5 linked regions of the Coturnix japonica genome follow. The protein of the gene in region 4 purifies or fractionates together with the protein of the main gene of each other region. This does not show direct contact. Links are inferred from orthologs where the notes say so. Each region holds a gene or a part of one and is shown on either strand. Other genes may lie near its edges.

The links.
Region 1: the proteins of POP1 (region 4) and RPP38 purify together in Homo sapiens (affinity purification with mass spectrometry; 3 studies listed by BioGRID and IntAct, with this or other methods). This does not show direct contact. The link is inferred for Coturnix japonica from reciprocal best matches to the Homo sapiens genes POP1 and RPP38.
Region 2: the proteins of POP1 (region 4) and POP4 purify together in Homo sapiens (affinity purification with mass spectrometry; 5 studies listed by BioGRID and IntAct, counting the BioPlex papers as one, with this or other methods). This does not show direct contact. The link is inferred for Coturnix japonica from reciprocal best matches to the Homo sapiens genes POP1 and POP4.
Region 3: the proteins of POP1 (region 4) and RPP25 purify together in Homo sapiens (affinity purification with mass spectrometry; 3 studies listed by BioGRID and IntAct, counting the BioPlex papers as one, with this or other methods). This does not show direct contact. The link is inferred for Coturnix japonica from reciprocal best matches to the Homo sapiens genes POP1 and RPP25.
Region 5: the proteins of POP1 (region 4) and RPP30 purify together in Homo sapiens (affinity purification with mass spectrometry; 5 studies listed by BioGRID and IntAct, counting the BioPlex papers as one, with this or other methods). This does not show direct contact. The link is inferred for Coturnix japonica from reciprocal best matches to the Homo sapiens genes POP1 and RPP30.

The regions. Positions count from the first base shown.
Region 1 is NC_029517.1:18,769,228-18,773,389, reverse strand, and holds RPP38 (ribonuclease P protein subunit p38), read left to right. Parts: upstream 1-1,352; 5' UTR 1,353-1,602; coding exon 1,603-1,608; intron 1,609-2,787; coding exon 2,788-3,660; 3' UTR 3,661-3,836; downstream 3,837-4,162. Other genes in the region: ACBD7 (acyl-CoA-binding domain-containing protein 7), read right to left, coding at 1,007-1,018. UniProt on the Homo sapiens protein: Component of ribonuclease P, a ribonucleoprotein complex that generates mature tRNA molecules by cleaving their 5'-ends. Also a component of the MRP ribonuclease complex, which cleaves pre-rRNA sequences.
Region 2 is NC_029526.1:7,094,781-7,098,857, reverse strand, and holds POP4 (ribonuclease P protein subunit p29), read right to left. Parts: upstream 2,801-4,077; 5' UTR 2,683-2,800; coding exon 2,676-2,682; intron 2,590-2,675; coding exon 2,537-2,589; intron 2,456-2,536; exon of another isoform or gene 2,435-2,455; coding exon 2,211-2,434; intron 1,764-2,210; coding exon 1,686-1,763; intron 1,484-1,685; coding exon 1,422-1,483; intron 1,138-1,421; coding exon 1,036-1,137; intron 572-1,035; coding exon 435-571; 3' UTR 190-434; downstream 1-189. UniProt on the Homo sapiens protein: Component of ribonuclease P, a ribonucleoprotein complex that generates mature tRNA molecules by cleaving their 5'-ends.
Region 3 is NC_029525.1:1,715,824-1,719,634, forward strand, and holds RPP25 (ribonuclease P protein subunit p25), read left to right. Parts: upstream 1-1,467; 5' UTR 1,468-1,742; coding exon 1,743-2,354; 3' UTR 2,355-3,299; downstream 3,300-3,811. UniProt on the Homo sapiens protein: Component of ribonuclease P, a ribonucleoprotein complex that generates mature tRNA molecules by cleaving their 5'-ends. Also a component of the MRP ribonuclease complex, which cleaves pre-rRNA sequences.
Region 4 is NC_029517.1:115,453,790-115,457,751, forward strand, and holds the start of POP1 (ribonucleases P/MRP protein subunit POP1), read left to right. Parts: upstream 1-1,162; 5' UTR 1,163-1,299; coding exon 1,300-1,429; intron 1,430-2,222; coding exon 2,223-2,390; intron 2,391-3,232; coding exon 3,233-3,408; intron 3,409-3,962. Other genes in the region: RIDA (2-iminobutanoate/2-iminopropanoate deaminase), read right to left, coding at 987-1,051. UniProt on the Homo sapiens protein: Component of ribonuclease P, a ribonucleoprotein complex that generates mature tRNA molecules by cleaving their 5'-ends. Also a component of the MRP ribonuclease complex, which cleaves pre-rRNA sequences.
Region 5 is NC_029521.1:17,047,693-17,051,710, reverse strand, and holds the start of RPP30 (ribonuclease P protein subunit p30), read right to left. Parts: upstream 2,801-4,018; 5' UTR 2,515-2,800; coding exon 2,433-2,514; intron 1,662-2,432; coding exon 1,606-1,661; intron 1,299-1,605; coding exon 1,242-1,298; intron 967-1,241; coding exon 892-966; intron 352-891; coding exon 280-351; intron 1-279. UniProt on the Homo sapiens protein: Component of ribonuclease P, a ribonucleoprotein complex that generates mature tRNA molecules by cleaving their 5'-ends. Also a component of the MRP ribonuclease complex, which cleaves pre-rRNA sequences.

The sequences.
Region 1 (4,162 bases), about 97 Mb from region 4:
CAAACATTCTTTTCTTCATCTCCCTCAATCCAACCCTTGTGCGCGGATTTTGCTTAGGATTTGCTTGCTTACACAACACGCTTAGGAGCAGCTGCAGAATATAATATCCTTTAATCACGAGCTGATGGAATTTCCCTCTCACTCCTCAAATCAAAAGCAGAAGCGTGTCTACAGTTGACATATACATATGCAGACGTAGATTTACACACGTGCATTAAAGCTAAATGCAGAAATCACAGAATCACAGAATGACCCGGGTTGGAAGGGACCTCAAGGATCATGTAGTTCCAACCCCCCTGCCTGGCAGGGCCACCAAACATACACCTTTACTAGATCAGGTTGCCCAGGGCCCTGTCCAACCTGGTCTTGAACACCTCCAAGGACGGGGCATCCACAACCTCCCAGTCACCAGACTTTATTTTCTAGCAGGAATTCGAGGCAGAACACAGCAAAATTAAACAAAAGCTGCTGTTCCGCTCGGGACTTGGCAGCCCCGGCCCATGGAGGGCGCGGGGTCAGCAGAACAACGAACCCTCTGTGCTGCGGCTCCAAGCGCTGAGCTGCGGCCAACGCGCCCCGCGACGGGGCCTCGCATACACGGAGCGAGGCGAGGCAGCATGGAAACGAAGGCAACAGAAAGGGCTGGAGGGTCTTAAAGCCAAAGGGAGAACGGAAAACCCCTTAAACAGCCGAACCAGTCCTGGGCATTTAAAGGTGGCGCAGAGGCGGAGCGCTGGAAGGCAGCGACGAAGGTGATTTCTCCAGGAGCCGCCGATACGGACAGAGGGAGGCAGCGTCCTTCCTGCCAAACCTCACTCAAAACGCAGCGCCCCAAAGACACGCACGCTCTACAAACTCCCTTAGAAACGCACGTTTCCCACAGACGCCCGTAGCGCAGCTCCCATCGATAACCCACCCGAGCAGCGGGTGCCGACACACCGCGCGGACACACCGTAACGCGCCGCTCCGCACCCCGAGCCGCAGTGCCACCGCCCGCCCCGCTCACCTGCAGGGCCATGGCCGGGCGGACACGCGCGGTCCGGTGTCGCTCCCGCAGCGCGATGCAGAGCGGGCAGCCGCCTCCCCTCGGGTCCCGCTGCCGTCACGGGGCGCTGAGCCGCTCGGGGCCGGGTTGGACGGGCCGTGGGCCAGCTGTGCTGGTGGGGGGCGGCCCTGCCCCTGGGGGTGGGGGGGCTCTGACGCCTCCTCCAACCCAAAGCATCCCGCAGCCCCGAGCCATCCGCATCACCGCCTCGCAGAGATGCGCTACAGCACCGTGACAGGATCCGAAGGGGCAGCAGCTCCCTCGCACCGCGGCTGCCCCCGCCCGGCGGCCCCGCAGCACGGCGGCGGATGGGGCGGAGCGGGACGGGGCGGGTTCGAGCTGCCGGCGTGGATCGGGCGGTACTGGCGGTGCCGGAGCGCTGGGCCCGGTGGTAGCGCGGCGTGGAGGCCGCGCTGAGCCGAGCGGCAGCTCCATCTCCATCTCCGTCCGTCCGGCCTGTTGTCAGGGCGCTGTGGTGGCTCCTGCCTTTAACTGCGTTGTCCTGGTCGGGAGCCGGCGGGGCCTTCCACGAGGCGTTTGGAAACCGGAGTGTTGGAATGGAGGTAAATGTTGGAATTGTTCGCGTTTCTCAGCTCCTCTGCTGGCAGCGGCGGGTCCTGCGGCTGATCGGCCTGGAAGAAGTTGGGTTTTGCTTGTTGTGCCCCGTCAGTTTGATTCCTGTGCCTACACGATTGTTTTCCTCAGTAGCCTCCATCTTGAAAAGACAGACGCGGGCTGCTTCAGCGTGTGCTCTCACATACACAACATACACAACAAAGGTGTTCTTTTAAAACCAAGGTAGTCTGTTATCAGCATGCAGGGAATTGATGTGATATAAATGGTGCCTTATAAATATCTAAAGGTTGCCACTGAAGTAATGTTTGTAATATTTCTACTTATGGAAGGAGGGGATCTAAGGAGAGCCGTGTCTGTTCCTCCTGAGTTGGCACACAAGTTCTCATCACGTTCTGTTGGCTGTGCAATGTAAAGCAGGAGATGCTGAACAGTAACCCAGGTTTGAGTATGGGGACTTAGTGAGTGGGCAGGGCTGGTAATCAGAGCATGCCTTCACTTGGACTGGATAGAGCAGAACTGGAACAGTGACCCTTTCTTTGCACCACTTTGATTTTTTCATAACCCTAAAGGCACGGCCTAGTTGATGCAGGAGTCAAAGAACCCTTCTGAATGTTCCATGGCCTGCAGAGGATTGCTTTCCTCCACAGAAATGTGCTCTGCAGCCTTCTGTCATACCTTCTAAATGCAGATAAATGTAAGACATAGATAAGTGAGAAAAAACACATGAAAATTAAAAAAACCCACAACTTTATCCCAAATGAATTCAGGAACTTGGAGATTGTTTCATGCTGCGATTCTGCAGCTTTATCACATCAGGATAGTTCTAAAATGGAGCTGTGCAGCAATGAAAACTTGTCTTTCACAACCTGAGCTTTATTATTAACATTATCTGTGGGACTTCCTGCTACTTCCATTCAGTTTCAGCTTCAGAAAGGTTTCCCATCACTGGCATTGCCTTGCTGGAAAAAAGCAAGCAACCTGTGCCCTGCTGGAGGATTATTAAGCACTGATATATATATAGCACTGAGCTGCTATAAAGGTGATTCCTGCCAGTATTGCTTTGAGCTGCTTTTTTCCCCCATTCCCAAGAGGAGCCTCTTGTAACAAAGTCCACAGCAGACAGTGCAGGATTTGAACGACTCTCTGCCTTTTTCTTCCCTCCACAGCTAGGTGGCGAAACAGAACAGAACCTGAGGACGCCTGTCATTCCACAAGGGACGGCGTCGCTTCGTAAAGCAAAGAAAACCACTGTAAAAACGTGTCTAGATAACCCCTTTGTTTTCGAATGGAAAGCCATAGATGGAGATGGTATGCATTTCATATTGCAGACCTTAGAAGAAAAGATTAAACGTATCGGACTTAAAAAGATAGAGACTCCAAGAAAGAAAAAACGTTCTACAAAAAACCAAGTGGAAAGCAAGTGTGATGGTAGCAACAGCGAACTCCCTGCTGAAAAAGAAACTGAAGGCCATCGACAAGCACTGGGATGGACTGACGTGGGCATCAGGAGGCAGCTTGCTATTGGAATTAATGAAGTTACAAAAGCGTTGGAGAAAAACGAGCTGCTTCTCTTGTTGGTGTGCAAATCTGCCAAACCTGCCATGATCACATCCCATCTCATCCAGCTGAGCGCGAGTCGAGCCACGCCAGCAGGCCAGGTTCCCCGCCTCAGTGAAACGGTAGCACCGCTTCTTGGCTTAACATCCATTTTAGCGCTCGGCTTCAAAAGGCAGTCTGATAAGTTCACTGACGTAGTAGAAGCGATAATTCCAAAGATACCTGCTTTGGAAGTGCCGTGGTTTCAGTTCCAAACAGAAGGATCTGCTGCATGTGCGGAGTTGTCAGAAATTGATGAAGCTGAGCAGCTTGCAGAGACGCCGGAGGAGGAGCTCTCAAGCCAGAAGCGGAAGCGTTCAGAAAGCAATCAGCTCCATCTCTCACATGTAATTTTGCAGCCTTTGAAAATCAAGAAAGTTGTTCCAAATCCAAATAAGATAAAGAAGCCACCTCGCAGAAAGAAAAAAGCTTTTTCAGCATGACTGATTTTAGTTCAGTTCTTCAGAGCACTGTGATTGTTTTTTACTGCCTATGGAGTACAGCTGTAACTGAACTACTTTGTTCTGCTTTAGCAGTGTAAAGCAGTTAACTCAGGTTAACTCATGTATGATGCATCCAGGTGAGGTTCTGTCTGCTTTAATAAAGAATGTGGCTCCAAGTTGTGTGTGAGCCTCTATCTGGAGATAAATATTTCATTTGCAGTTGGAGATCACAAAGTTGAGACTGTTAATGAACGTCTTGAAGTAATGTGAGGATAACAAGCGCATCTTTAGAATTAATACTAAGTGCTAAGCAAACTTTGTATGTTTTTTTTACATGTGAACATGCTTTAGACAGAACTGATTGAAATTAATGTCATTACACATAAAAAAAAAATAATACCAAAACTGAAAGTTTATTTAAACAAGGTCCATGCCAGTATAACTTTTAAAGCTGGTTCAATGCTTGTTTCAAGTAAACAGCTGTAACAGCACAGGCAGACTT
Region 2 (4,077 bases), on a different chromosome or scaffold from region 4:
ATACAAGCTGAACAGGCAGCAATGATTGATCCAGGAGCAATCACATAAAAGCAGTTACCAGCTGCAGTCTCCTTACACAGTGACAGGTGTTATTGCTGCCTTCTGAACGAAGCAGGCTCTGTAAGCAAGTTATAAGATAAAACATTCACTGAACAAATATACAGTCAAAATAGAAACAAAAACCAGGTAATCAGTACTAATCACAAGTTTAATAAAAGGCAGAACATTACACACAAGTAAAAGATACAACTAAGACTTCAGCAGTTTGACAGACTGCTTTAAAGATGAAACCAGTCATTCTTCAGTATGAAGAAACACTTCAGAAAAATCTCAGCTAGTTAACTCTGTCTTTCAGTCTGCCAGAAAACCTGTTTTGTAAACTGAAGGAGAACAGCAGACATCTTAATTAAACTTCCTTTTGATTTGCTATGAAATCATAGGTCAATAGTTCCTTTCAGCTTGAACTTCTTTGCAGACCGCTCACTTGCTCGAAGCTGGAACTTGCTTCCATAGATGTAGGAAATGAATCCATCAGTCTCCACACTGAATACGTTGTTAATTTTGGGAACAACTGAAAAATGGAGAAGTAGCATTATGCATAGATACTGGTGTACCAGGGAATACTATTCACATGCAGGCTTCAGGTTCATAACATGTCAAGGTTTAATGCTGCAGTGTGAGAAATACACTCAATACAGCCTGTACATTTAAGGGCAAAACTGACAGAATTCAGTCCTTGTTCACAAGTGTGCAGTAAGAGTTGCAGAGAACGATCTACAGTGAATCAGATGAATGAACCATGTGCATAATCATGTTATAAATCACTGGAAATATGTTTTTAAATTACTTCTAAGGTACATTATTGGGTTTTTACATGTCAGATAAAGACATGAACTTCTGCCACTATGCAAAGAATTACAAGCAGTGGTAAAGAACAATGTATGTATGTGCTCATACATTTACTCAGAAGTATAATAATATGATCGATTCTCAGTAACTCACATTATAACAAGCACTGAAAAACATTTGCCATACCTTTTAGTTTGTTGTCTTTAGTAATAATCTTGAAGACATGTTTGAATTCCTGTAGGATTATTCCCGTTATCCCAACATAAGATGGACACTTTGATTTTGTGACTGAAAGAACAAGAATAGGAATGTGTTAGAATAAATTCAGGTGCAGCTGGTTTGCTGTTCCATTATTGCCTCATCATTTTAGAAGTCTGAGATAATAGTCTGAAGTAATTATAGTGATAACTGGTAGAGCAGTTGAAAAGTTAAGCAGCACTGGTAAATGGAGAAAGAATCCATCAACACAATTACATTATCCTAGAGTTGATACTGAAAGGAATTCAATGAGCACCTGAAACATAAGAAAGTACAGCAAATCTCAGATAACTGCAGAATAAAGCAAACAATACCTGTAACAACAGCTCCATGGAGGTCAGCTTTCAGCAGTTTGCTCTGCACCATCTGTGGTTGCCTTGAAGAAAAGGGTAGGATCAGAGAGGGGAAAAAAATACATGGAAAAGCATGTTTATAAGGTGTGACTGTGCCTATTGAAATACTGGTCAAAGCTTACAGAAATAGCATATATCCTTATTAAATAATTGACATTTAAGTTTAATCAAATTACTACTTGAAATGCCTTAAAAAATGGTGGTGGTTAGATTAGCTAAACTTACGCATCTGGTTTAAGTCCATAACACAGGTCTCTGATGTATTGCTTCCAGAGTTCATGTAGTGGTAGAAATAGTTCATATCTGCAGTTAGAAGGCAAATATTTTACAATAACTTAATTATATATATTATAATATATTATATTGTAGATTGTCTTAGTAAGCAGAGTTAAAACTAAGAATTACACATGTTATCAGCTGCACAGATCACTTAGTAAACCACTCCAAGTAAAGCTGAATATGCTCCGAACAAACCCAAGGGGAGGGATGTGTTTAAGAGCTTTCTGCTCCTCTTTCTCCCCCTTGCTTCCTTTTAGGAGCAGCACTGGCCTTACTCAGCATGTCCTGGGTCAAGGAACATAATGCAAAATGGAGATTCACTGGTTGCAGCCATTCTGGGGATTAGAATTGAAGTCACAGGTGGCAGCACTTAGGAAAGAACTGGTCAGGGATGAGCTCATCCAACAGGCAGCCCAGGTTATAGCTGTGCTGTGGTTTAGTGCCACAGAGCACACAAACTCACTCTCATACCTCTGCTGCTCAGGCTCGATATCAAACAGCCCCAGCTCCCTCCTCTGTTTGGCTGTGAAGGTTTTTGTTTTCCTTCTCTTTGGCTTCTTCCTCCTCCTGCAGTGGTGCTCCAGAACCACGGCCTTCCGCGTTAGCACATCCTGGATGGCTTCGTCCTTCTTCTTGGGCATGCTGCGCTTCAGGAAGGCGCTCACAAACGCTCTGGCCTCCTCTGACCCTTGGGGCTAAAGGTGTTTAAAAACAGACTTTAATTAAATTAGAGCCCGGCTGCCCGCCGAGCTGAGGCAGCGCTGGGCAGAGGCTGTGGGGGTACATGGGAGCGGTACCTGTAGGCATAGCTCCTTCGCCGCCTCGCGGGGCAGCCCGCTGTACAACACACCTGCGGGCAGACAGCGGGCTCAGCCGGCCCTTCATCTACCTCCTCATCCTCATCCTCCTCCCGTCCCGTCCCATCCCTGTACTCACCCTCCATCTCGATGCTCCGGCGCAGCCGTGACGTGTGTGCGACCGGGGCGGGCCTGGCTGCATCCCCCCCTTCCCCTCCAGTGCGGCAGGTGGAGCTGCAGGACAGTGCCGCTCTATCAAGCGCTTCCCAACGCTCTGTGTGCCGGGGTGGGGGCTACGGAACCCGAGCTCAGCCCCCTGCAGCAGTAGGAACTTTGGGCCTGAGCATGGCAGTTTAGTACGAGGATACACATCCATGTGCACGCAGCATCTCCTGCTCTTCCGAGGGGTTCGCCCCTTCCAGCCCTGCTGCACTCCCACACCTCTTGGCACAGAGGTGCTCTGGAAACAGTACCACAAGTTCCTCAGCTTAGCAAGTCCAAGCTCACATTAAAATAGAGGTGTTTGTATTCCTATCACGGGGTGGGTATCAGCCACACGTGTAACTAAGTGCCCCCTGGGGAAGGAGGCTGACAGAGCTGCCATGACAGAGCATAGGAAATGTGAGCATTGTGTTGAGTGCTGCTGTGGAGCACAGAGGTACTAAAGCAGTGTGTAACAAGGGACAAAACTGCAGATAAATGTGTATTTGTAGAGAAAAAAAGGCCAGTCCCTTCAGATTAATAAGCACAAGCACTGGTTGGTTTGTGTAACAACCAGAAAGATCAATGTGATGGAAAGGTGATACAAGAGCTGTAATAATAAAGGGACTAATACAACAGAATGGTGTTAAAAAGGAAGGATAAAGGTCTGCTCACCCATCTCTGAAGATTAAGGTCACAGGCTTCACCAAGGAGGGATCTCCAACCAGAGAACCTTCCCTGGTGGCAGTCAGCCCTTAAATGAGGTGTAAGAGGTGCAGCCAGGCTCCACCCTTCCACTCACAAAGAGAATTGCCTCCACTTGTGCTCTCAGGGCTGAGCAGGTCCTTTCTCAGGTGCCCAGTGATTCAGGCTGGGACTCAACAGTTCCCATACAGCGTGTATGAAAGGTCTCTTGGCAGTGTAGGATGTTGCCACAGCAAACAGGTGCCTTGTTTTTACAAAGCAGGGACTCCTTGAGTTGTCATTGCTATTTAAGAAAAGATCAGTTTTCATGAATGGAGTGCCAGGATGAACGCTATGGGTCTTCAGGGCCGTATGAGTGCTCCTTGGCTGGATTTATGCTGCAGTTCCTAAGGCACTTAAGGGATTAATAGTCAAATCGGTGTTGGTGATGCCAGTGTAGTAAATCCAATGATCCAGGCTAAACAGGTGCCTGGGGAAGCCAGTCTCTTCCAACAGCTCTACATCTTCATTTCCCAATCTATCTTCAGAGACAGTGTCTGATAGAGCTGGGTCAGCTTGTTAGTGTGTGTTCCAGGGAAAGGGCTCTGAGCTGGGAGTGGGACTCAATCAAATAAACATGAAAAAGAGCAGGAGGA
Region 3 (3,811 bases), on a different chromosome or scaffold from region 4:
CCCAGCCATGACCCAGAGATTCATACCTGAGCTGAGGATAGTGGTCAAGCCCAACCAAGACCCCAGATCAACTGGCACATCTCTAGTAGATCCACACTCTCAAGGTCAAGCCATGAAGTAAGCCCAGCAGCCAGGACCAGCAATAGCTAAGCAGCTCTCCAGTCAACCCGTAGATTGAGGTCCATATGAGTAGCACCAGAAACAAGCTTAGCTATCCCTAAATGGGAGACCAGCTCACAATAGATCCCAAATTAGAGCTGAAAGCTGTAAATATGAGCTTACACAGGGCTTTGGGACCATACAAAGGTTGTGGGGCTGGGGTCCCTCAATTATTCCTCTTGCTCGTTGTGTTATGGCTTTACAAAGGGGTTTCAGTGGGGAGCCAGATGCATAGTGTCTCGCTTAGGGATGTCACTGTTATAGGTGCTGTCCCACGTGCAATGTGACGAGCACCTGAGACCTGAGCCACCCCGATGTGACGCAGAGATGGACGGAGACTTTCCTCATATCGCATGCTTCAACTTTCCGAACTGCTCCCACATTCAGCAGATGAAAGAAAATATAGCGAGGGCAGGTGGAGGGCAGGGGCTCACGTTACTGCTGCTCCAGCTTTCACCATCTCTCTCTCCTGTTTTAACCGATTCCCTGTACTTTTCATGTAGTGCTTTTATCCCCTCAGCCCTCCTTTTGTCCCTTTCCCATCCTGCTGCTCCTCAGCTTGGAATAACTGCTGTTGTCCTCCAGCAAACACACAGTGACAGGGTAATGAATGGCTTCAGATGGTAATTAGCGATGGAGCTGCTAATAACACGATTCATTTCCATTTTAAGTGCCGCAGAACGCTGCGATAAAATGGACCACGGGTGGCAGGATTTGATCCCACAGCGCAGTTTTCCTCCCTGCTGTGTGAATGGTTGTTGAAATCCTTCCTTGTTATTTTCCTAGGGGCTTTAGCATCTTTCAGAAGCAGTGTTTTGCCACAGAGGCTTTAATCTGTTTCAGCCACGCCATTGGCTCTGCCTCAGTTTCTCCTCTTGGGGTTGTCCCAACAGTGGTACCCACTCTTGCTGCATTGGGGCAGCGGGGATGGGGCTGGCCGATCCATTCATTTATTTATGGATTTTGCAAGCCCTATTCGGGGTGAAAATAATCCCAGGTCCTCCAGAGGCCGATAAGATTTGGCAGCAAGGCAATACTCGGCATCTCTTTCCACTGTGCAATGATCCGGAGGCTGGGGCGGGGGGAGCAGGGGACAACTGCTGCTGTTTGCGGGCGGCTTGGTGTCCTTGAGAGAAGGGACGAGGTTCTCTTTAAGGGGGCAGGACTTGGGGAGCATCACAAAGCCAGGAGAGAGCTTCTCCCTCTGCCCACCCAGGGATGGAAGCAGCAGCAGGGTGCTGGGATGGGAGGCTGAGCGAGGGGAGGAGGAGGAGGAGAAGGAGGGGAGGGAGGGGAGGGAGAGGGGGAGGATCTGCTAATTACACAGAACAGCTCTGGGGGCTGCTGAAGTCCAGAATGAAGCAAAGAGCGGCAGAAGCAAGCGCTGCAGAGGGAACAGAGGAGCCTGAGCACTGCCGAGAGCTGCAGCCAGCAGCGAACGGGGGCACCCAGGGGATCCTACAGCTCTGGCCTCCCCTGGGGACAGCCAGCACCAGGACGAGGAGAGGGGAAGGGGCTGGGGGTCCTGGGGACGTGACGTTGGAGCTGGAGGAAGGCAGCGGGGGCTAAGTGTGGGGTGAGGGATGGCGGCCAAGCCCATTGCCCAGTGTAGGATGGAGAACTTCCGAAAGGTCAGGACGTCAGAGGAGGACAGCCCCTTGCCCTTCCCTGACTTACCCCCAGGTGTGGTGGAGATGAAAGTGAAGGAGGGCAGCAAGATCAGGAACCTGATGAGCTTCGCCATGGCTCAGATGGAGCTGAAGGGCAGCAGGCAGATTGTCTTCAGCGGCTGCGGCAGAGCGGTCACCAAGACCATCACCTGCGTGGAGATCATGAAGAGAAAGCTGGGGGGTCTGCACCAGGTCACCAAGGTACGCTACAAAACCTTGCTGGAGGTCTGGGAGAACCAGGACCCGCTGCCTGGCACTGCAGCACAGAATCTGACCGTCCATAAGAACGTCCCTTCCATCTGCATCCTGCTCTCCCGTGACCCCCTGGACCCCAACCAGACGGGCTACCAACCCCCTGAGCCCAGAGAGGCAGGAGAAGACCCCACGAGCTCCTCGGCCAAGGGGCTGAAGCGGCCCCCACCGCCTGCCCGTGAGGAACTGCTGCCCAAGAAGCTGCAGGTAGCGGGAGCCAGCAGCCCGCAGGGCTCGGGGACAACAGACAGCCAGATGGACGGCCACTACTGACCCTATGACATGCTCACAGCAGGGTCTGGGGGGGCTACTGACCCCACGCAGAACACATCCTTGTATCCCACTGGCTCCCCATTTTATGAAGGGCGGCTGCAGTGTGTAGGTCTGTGGGAAAACCTCCCCTCTCCAAACTTTTCCTCCCTTTTGCCTGGTGCTGCGAGCACTTGTAGGGATGCGGAGCTACTCGTGCCTCCTGTCAGCCCTGCTAAATAGCCCCCTGCACAGCAGACCTCCAGGACTCCCATAGAGCTGAAGCATCCTTTGGATTCTCCCCAGATTGGGAAATGCAGCTGCATGCCTCCGCTCTGCATCGGGATGTCTCAGCCAGCTGCAAAGAGCCCATCAGAGTAACACCTTCATTGCAATTAACCCCCGAGAGGAGCTGTCAGGTTTATTAATGCTGGGCTCCGTGCCTCGTGGCTCCTGTGATTCATCCTGAATAGCACAAACAAGCAGATGGGTCCTGCTCCCTCTCACCCAGCTCCCTGCTTTGTCTCTGCTCCTTCCTCTCCTCTGTGGCATCGTTGCTATTTTGTGCTTTGCTCTGAAATACCCCAAGCTGATCCTTCCTCTCTCAGAACTGCTGCAGCCTGAGAGCCAAAGAAACAAGCCCTGGAGCACTGCTGTTCATTTCAATAGCAGCCCCTCCAGTGAACAGGAATGGAAATAACCCCTCTTCCCACATCATATATTCAAGTTTTTCCTCTCCCGGAGGTGTTTGCAGCCATGGTGAAAGCATGATGACGAAGACAACAGGGAGCATCAGGTGGATCATCTACAAGCTGATGGACAGATGCTGGGATGAAGAGGAACTTTGTAGGTTTGGCTGCGGATTATTCGCTATGGGCTGGCTCCCCAGAATAGCCCTTTGGAGTGAAACACCCGCTTTTTCTATGGGTAAAAGGAAACCAATGGAAAATAAAAGCTCTTTAGAAATAATTGAAGTATGTCTATGGGGAAATGGGGGGGGTGAGGGTGGGGGTCGTCTTTGCCACTGACCATGGCACAGATGGGTACAGTGAGGGCGAGACTGTGGCTGCTGCTGAGGCAGAACAAGGGGATCCTGGCCAAATCCTGCCTCTTGGGGATGAGGAATCAGGGCCAGCTTCTTTGCATGCCCTGGCAGTCATCTGGCCCCAGCTGACATGGCAAAGCCCCCCATGGAGCTCCATCTGCCCCACGTCAGCCCCTTGCCATCACGTGGGGACCAAAGCAATGCAGAGATGGGTTGTGGGAGGCCAACTGAACCCAAATCCACCTGGGTCCCCTGCCCAAGCAGGACAGATTCAGTTGGCTCCAGACAACGCAGCCTTGGGATGGAGTCAGCGGACATCACTGCTTTGCCAAAGGCTGGCTTGGAAAGTGCTTTGTTTGGCTGGGAGAGGGAATGGAAGGAGACCAGGGGAGCGAGAAAGAAGAGGAAGGGGGAGTAAAGGGGGGTGGGTTGTTTG
Region 4 (3,962 bases):
TGATCAAACTTTAACTGCAGATGCGTCCTGTAACAAGGGTCAACTGTGCATCTCTGCTGGAATCATAAGGAGTAGTTAAGTGCATGCCACACATCATCCATATCTCAGTACACTTGAGTGCAAAGCTATATAGACATTATGACCTTGGCCAAAACAACACCATAACCCTCAGACAAATGGCATCAAGAAACATGCTCTTCAATGATGACAAGTGGGAAAAGTTAATCAGACTTGCTTTATACAGAGTTACTACCACAAGTACAGCATCTCTGTGCATACACACACATGAAATCACTGGAAATTAGAGGAGTTTAGTAAAGGAGGTACAAAGTATGGTGCAAATTGCACACAGGACTGTAGCAGAACCAGGAATACGACCCTTCTATGCTAATCCTCCCATCCATATGAAGCCCTGATTGAGCTCTATGCTCAGAACTGAGATGGAGCAGTTATTTCTTACGCAATTATTTGTTCAGTGGACTTTGAAAGTGCACTGGAACATGACCACTAAGTTCACCACTAACTCAGTTGGTGTTGGCCCTGCAAGTTCAACAACATGCTGCACAATAAGCAGCATTCCATTAACAACTACCAGCCAGCACAGGACATGGGAGCACAGTTAATCTATAGCAGAAGGCTATGTAAAGACTAAACCATTTGGTGCTGAAGAACCCTCACTTTCCACACCTCAGGTGCTCTCCTACCCACAGGCAATGCCAAGCTCTGGCTGCAACCATATCAAATCCACAGGGACAACAAAGCTTTAGTAAAGCTCCAAAGTGCCACAGGTGGACAAGTCGAAACCTGAGGGAACTGCGTTTATAACAGGAAAACGCAGCTTAATCCCGTTATTAAGAACCCCCAGACAGCACTGTGGTGACCCCCAGAGCTTACACAGCAGCCCACCACCCTTCATTAAACATACAAACCCCCCCGTTACCACACGGAACAATAAACCTCCAACAATCCTCCCCTACGAGCCGTACCTGTATGAACCCAGCGGCGTAGGAGCCTTAGCAGTGCTGATGATCTTCCTTACCACAGCAGCCATGGCGACAATCACCCTCACAGACCAACTCACTGTCCCTCAGCGCCCGCCTAAAAACCCTCCCCCGCCCGCCCCCCACACCTACTGCGTGTGGCTGCGCTGTGCGCATGCGCTGTAGGGGCTCGGGAGGCCTCGTGTAGCCAAGATGGCGGCGGCGGGCAGCCGTGTTCAGGAGGAGGTTGGCTGCTCTGCTGCGCTTTAGGCCCGTCGGAGCGACAGCAGGAGAGCTGTGAGCTCCGTGTCGAGCCGAGATGTCTACGGCGAGGGAGAAGAAGCGGGCCAGGAAGATGAGGAACCAGCCGGCCAGCGTCACGCTCCCGGCTGAGCCGGCGTCCTTTACAGGAGGCGGCAGCAGCAGCAGCAGGGCCTGCTCGGCTCCAGGTACGGCCTGCATCCCCCCGGCATGACTCACCCCCGGTCGCACTCACTAAGTGTGACCGCCCAGCCAGCTCCGTATCCAGACAGCGGGACATCCAGCACATCCCGCTGTTATCCTCTGTTGCGTCTGGGATGTCACGCAGGACAGTGTCTAACGATGTACTGTAACTTACTGCAGCAACATATGTGTGCCGTGCTTGCTTTATTGCTGCAAAAGAAATGCGTGTGTCTTACTGAGGATAAAAGGACAAAAATAGCTAAACTTACGGGGAAAAAAAATAAGAGGGGAAACTTTTGCTGACTAAACAACAGTAAGTTACTGTTGGCACTGTCACTGATGGCAGTCACGTGGGCTGATTTTGATCACAGAATCACATAACAGCTTGGGTTGAAAAGGACCACAATGATCATCCAGTTACAACCCCCTGTTCTGTGCAGGGTCACCAGCCACCAGACCAGGCTGCCCAGAGCTACATCCAGCCTGGCCTTGAATGCCTGCAGGGATGGGGCATCCACAGCCTCCTTGGGCAACCTGTTCAAGTGCGTCACCACCCGATGTGTGAAAAACTTCCTCCTTTATGTGACCTAAACCTCCCCTGTCACAGTTTAAAGCCATTCCCCCTTGTTCTATCACTATTCACCCTTGTAAACAGCTGTTCCCCCTCCTATTTAGATGCTTTATTGCGTGTTTATATCAGGTTTATATCAGGTTTATATCTTTCCCTTTGGGCTTCATTGATCCATTCCTGGATGACTTTGTATTTCTGTTATCTGTGTTCATTTCTAAACCTTTTAGGAGATGTTCGTTCTGAGCAGCAGTATCAACAGAAGAAATTTTTGCATCAGTCACCTGGGCCTCCCTACAGGAAAGAACAAAATAGAGGAGACTCAAGAGGCAGAGGAAGAGGAGGATGGCAAGGAGAACATCAGAATTCTTCAGAGGAAATGCCTAGATACATAACAGGTTTGTATGTATAAGAGAAGGTCAGAGTTTCCAGGGCAGCTTGCTAGAAGTTGCTTGTTGTCTGTCTTAGATTTTGCACAATAGCAAAAGTCAGAACGGATGTTTTGGTCAACATGTGTATTGTCTTTTGTTTTTCCTGATTTTCTCCAAAATACAGAAAAGTTTGTTTACTGAAATGAATTACCAGCTGTTGTTCAGTGAGTCCTTTCAGACTTCTGAGTTGAAAAATTGCACTCCTTATAACGAGGGCATGCATTTGGATCACGGTTTACCAGGAAAATGAATACTGACAGCCATCTGTTTTCAATGTAGTCAGTGGAACTGTTTATGCTCATGTTGTGAGTTAAAGAAACTTTTAACAGAACGTTTGTTTAGGAAAGCAAAGAGACAAATTAGTTTTTCAAATTATGGTGGTGCTATGATAATGAATACACTTCCATAAGCATTAAACGAAATCAACCTCTGACTCCTTGATTTGATCATCTTAAAACAGTTTGCAGTCTGATCATTGCTTCCTGCTTTTTTTTCCATGATTAAGTTTTTCCATCTGTCTGAATAATACATGAAAACATGGCTGCCATAGTAAAGAAGTACTTTGTGCAAATAGAACATGTTGCTTATACCTCAGCTCTCAGTATTTGCCTAAACATATTGGTGAGGATATTTGAAGAATAGAAATTACTTCTGTAATAGACAGTAGAGGATATTTTTGTTTTATCTCATGAAGTCAGTAGACTGGTGTACTAGGAATACTCTGCTGGAGTTCACTAACCTATGTACGTTGTCCCTTTCCTTTTATCTTTGCCATTTGCCATGTTCTGATGGAGTTCTTTTCATTCCAGTGTCTACCTTTGCTGAAGCTCGTGCTGCTGAGCTCAAAGCCATGCTGAAAGCAGTTGCGCAGAAGTCTTCCAACTCTCTAGTGTTCCAGACTCTGCCCAGGAGCATGCGAAGGCGAGCTATGAGTCACAATATTAAGCGCCTACCCAGGCGGCTGCAAGAGATTGCCAGAAAAGAGGTATACGTGTAGTTTATAGTATTTGATGAGGTGTATAGTGGATGTAACTATTGTGCGGTGCTGTACGTTTATTACAGTTCACAGCTGAGCTTGCCTGCAAAGCTTCCTTATATACAAAGGCTGACAAGCTTGGGCTGACATTTGGATGCAAAACCTACATTTTAGTAGATCTCAGTGTAATTGTCAATAATGTCTTGGATTCATCGTTGTTCTATGTCTTGAGAAGTTACTGGAGTCATGATGATAAAACCCCCTACTGCAGGACTGTTTGTTTTGGGTGGTATATCAAGGTCTCAGGTGATGTAGGACTCTTCAGTAACACCTGCCTATCTTGCAGCTCACCACTGCTTTGAGCTGTGACTTTGCACAACTGAAGCCAGCACAACTTGTTCATAACTGGCACAGTATAGCTCAGACAGGGTCAGCACAGTGGAGCAGTAGACAGGTTGCATGCAGCTTGAGACCATTCCTGGTCGTGAAGCTCATTTTGGAGTAGTGTCTTAACATTTAGTCGGGATGCTCTTATAAATTTACTTATTCCTTACTTGCTGTGG
Region 5 (4,018 bases), on a different chromosome or scaffold from region 4:
AAAGCATTTTGACAAGAAGTTGAGCTGAGCATTTGAAAGCAAGTCAGTCAGACCACTTGCAGACGTTTAGGACCAACTGATCACATCAAGGCCCTTTACCCTTCTAGGATTTCTCCCAATCTTTTAGTCTGCCTGCTGCTGACCAGAGAACCTACATTGTTTAATTAGCCCCATGACATGGCTATATAGAATGGAAAACAAAACAAAGCATGCACTCAAAGCACTCCAAGACACTGATGGTTAGTGCCAGCTCTATGACAACTCACAGATAGTACTTACATGGAACAATTTCTCCGTCTTTGGAAATACAGCTATGATGTCATACAATCTTATATTTGCAGATGTAGATCTCTACAAAAGGAGGAAATAATTACTACCTTGACTTCTGGCAGGTGACAAGCATACACACAATGATTATAACCAAAATAATAATGAGAAAATTTCCTCACCATTTTCAAGCACCAAAACAAAGACGATAATCTAATTAAATAGTAGGTCTCTACTGTGAGCAATTCTCTGAGGTCATTTTGAGGCTTGTCCCATCCACTCACATACCTTTTGTCTCAAGCACACAGCTCCACAAACACACACTGGTCTCCCTCCTGGTATTCTAGTGTACACATGGAAGTCCAGAATTCAAATAAAAGAATAAAGGAACAGAACTGCTACCCCATACTAATAAGCGATCAGCACAATCACGTTCTGTTTCACAGACACTTGCGTGAGGGGTCATGATGCTTCAGATTCTAAAGATCTGGTCTGAGAAATCAGTACTGAGTATCCTATGAAATCCATTAAATCCAATACACAACTCCCAAAGTGTCATTCTTTCGTTGAGAAAATTAAATTAAAACAAACAAACAAACAAGCAGATACACTGAATGTACTTACCAAGAGATTACAGTGGGAAGGATCAGAAACAACAAGTGTCAGCCGGGTTAAGACTTTAAGTCTTTTAGATGTCCCCTATGATGGAAAAATAATATAAGATTTTAAAAGCTGACAAACTTTGTGGCAACCTTCACCCTGCCTACTATAAAAAGAAAGTTGTGCCTTGCACCAATTCTTGCCTATAATAATTTTCTGGAAGTCTGTAGTTATGCTTCCCTAATATAAAACATATATATTGTAACTGCCCTTCAGAAAGAAGGGCTCACTGTGTTTCTCTGAGGAGTGGATAAACTGAAAGGAAAAATTGCAGCTCAGTGTAACAACACATAGATGGAACGTAATAAACACACCTGCACAATAGGCAAAGATGGAAACAGCTCTGATGGAGACACCGGCTTGGCTATTTCCTTAAAAGAAAACAAAACAAAGTTATCCAAAATACAACAGGGATGTTTAGAATGTACACAGAAGTTGTGTTCCAACTCCAAAAATAAGCTTAACATACTAACAAAATATTTCCTAAGGACAATTCACAGACCATAGTAAAAATTAACTCCAGGGCAGTAATACAGGCTTATAAAATCAGAGTTCTGTTATAAATATAAATACAAATGCCTTCATTTAGGTGAGTGCGTAAAAACAAAGGATAGAGGAGTGGCACAGAGATTTACGAGAGCAAACACATCACCAACAAAGAAGCTGAACTGAAATTACCTGTTTCTTTTCTTTAAAATCGATGACGTGATTAAGAGCAACTGCAGAATATCCCACTAAAAAAGAAAACACATTGTGAGCCTGCTTTGATCAGCAAGTAATGGAAACAGACACAAGGAGAAAACTGTCACATGCTCATTATTTAAATATCTCAAAATCAATAACGATGTGCACATTTACCTTTCACAGTGAATTTTGCTCAATGTTAACTCAAAGATGTGTCTTAAGAGTACAATTTTTTCTTTTAGCACAAGCCAGCCTTTACAACACATCCTCACTGACTGACAGTAACAAGGACAAGGGACTGTGCACGGCCAGTGCTGGGGTACGCACAGAGATGCACGGTTACCTAATGGGTACAGCAGGGCAGGCTGAGGTGTGGCTGTGAGCCTGGGGTAGTGGGGTAAGCCACAGGCTGCCAGGTCCCGGCTCTGCATCGACACGAAGGCTGCGCCTTGCAGCAGCGGACTGGAAGATGCATTATGAGGGGAGATGTGACCACGATTGAAGGGTGATACAAACAGAAAGACTGCCGTGGTGGACAGGACTAGAGAAAGCCATAAAGCCTGTGCTGAAGATCAGTAACCCTGGAACAAGTTCTCTGCAGAGGTTGGAGAGTAACCGGAGATAATAACAGCGCTGTTCAGGCACAGCACAGACCCCGTGCCCTCGCTGGGCAGGGCAGGACCGGCGCATGGAGCTTCCGCCCCGTCCAGCCCCGCTTCTCCATCCTTCACGCCGCTGCTGCAGCCCTCAGCCAGCGCCGCCTTCCAGCACAGCCACCCCATCCTCAACAACACATCCACCCGCTCCCAGCCCCGACTCACGGTTCGCCGCAGCCTCCAGCACGCTCTGCACGGCCTTCCTATCCGCGCCCTGCGGGACGTTCAGATCGGCGAAGCCGGCCATGCTGCGCAGCACGGGGCGGAACGAAGGCTGTGAGCGCAGCCGGCACCGCCCCCGGCGGCCCGGAGCAACCTGGGGCTGGTAGTCCTGCTACGAGGAGCGGGATGGGCTCTGGACCAGCAGGCGGAGCTCTGGGTGATGGAGCGTGCGAGCTTTTATGCGCTCCTGAACGTGTCCGTGGGGGGCTGTGCTGCGAGCGGAGCAGTCGGGAGCTCGGGGTGTGTGCGCTGCCCAGCAGGGGGAGATGCGCTTCTGCTCCTCTTAGCGGCCGGATCGCCTCCCACCGAGCGCAGCTACTGTATGGCCCGAGGGGGGGTGGAACCGTTCCTAGTTAAGGCCATCGTTTTCCTGCGTTAACTAAAAAATGTGAAATAAAATCCTAGGTTGATTAGTCCCAGCTTCTCTAGAGATATTCCCTAAAATGCAAAAGAGATGAACAATTCCAGGAGACCACAAATCAAACATGCTTTGACTCTGTAGCACTGTTGAAAAACCCACCCATTTTATTGCTGCTAATCAGCACATATGTGAAATACAGGTGGTAATGACCACTTTTGTTGCTGTTTGGGACAGTTACAGCAGCTGCTAAAACAAGCAAGGCTGTGATTTCTTCACATCATCAAGGTGGTATTGGGAGGCCTCACAAGCCCTCTGCTTCCACTTCCTTGAGCCTGGAGGTTCAGTGGGTTATTTGGAATGCTAAACCCTTAACCAGGCAGAATTGCTCCAGCAATGCCCACAGCTCCCAGGCACGTCCCTGCCCACAGCACTGCTCCTTGGCACACTGAGGCCGAAGAGTTTATAAGCTCCCTTTAAACACAGAAAGGCTGCAACGAGATCTCCCTGGTGCCTTCCCCAGATTGAACAAACCTATCTCCAGGGAAGTACTCCAGCTCTCTGAGCACCTTCGTGGCCATCCTTGTGACCCATCACAACAGCTCCATATCACTCCTGTGCTGGGAGCCCCAGGCTTGGACACTGTGCTCCAGGTGGGGGCTCACAAGGACAGTACAGAGTGAAACAGTCACCTCCCTCTTCATGCTGCCACCCCTCTGTTGATGCAGCCCAGAATACAGTTGCTCTATGGGCTGCAAGTGCACACTGCTGGCTCATATCCAACTTTTTGTCCATCAAGTCTCCAAGTCTTCCTCAGCAGGGCTGCTCTCAGTGAGTTTTTCTCCCAGTCTGAATGTCTGGGGTTGCCCCAGCTCAAATACAACACCTTGAATTTGGCTGTGCTGAACCTCACTAGGTTTTTGTGGGTCCATTTTTCAAGCCTATCCAGGTCTCCCTGGAAGATGTTCCTTCCTCCTACGTTTCCTATGTTTCAGCAAATTCTGCTTTGGCCTATCTGTGCCCTTAACATGTTTCCTATTGGAATAGCCAGTGCTGCTTCTCTGCCAAATATCTGAACACACAGCCCAAATCAAATGGTCTTCTTAAGGCTTTTCTGTGAAGTGTGTGGACATGGGAGAACTCAAAGCATTATTTCAAGTGTTTTTTTTGT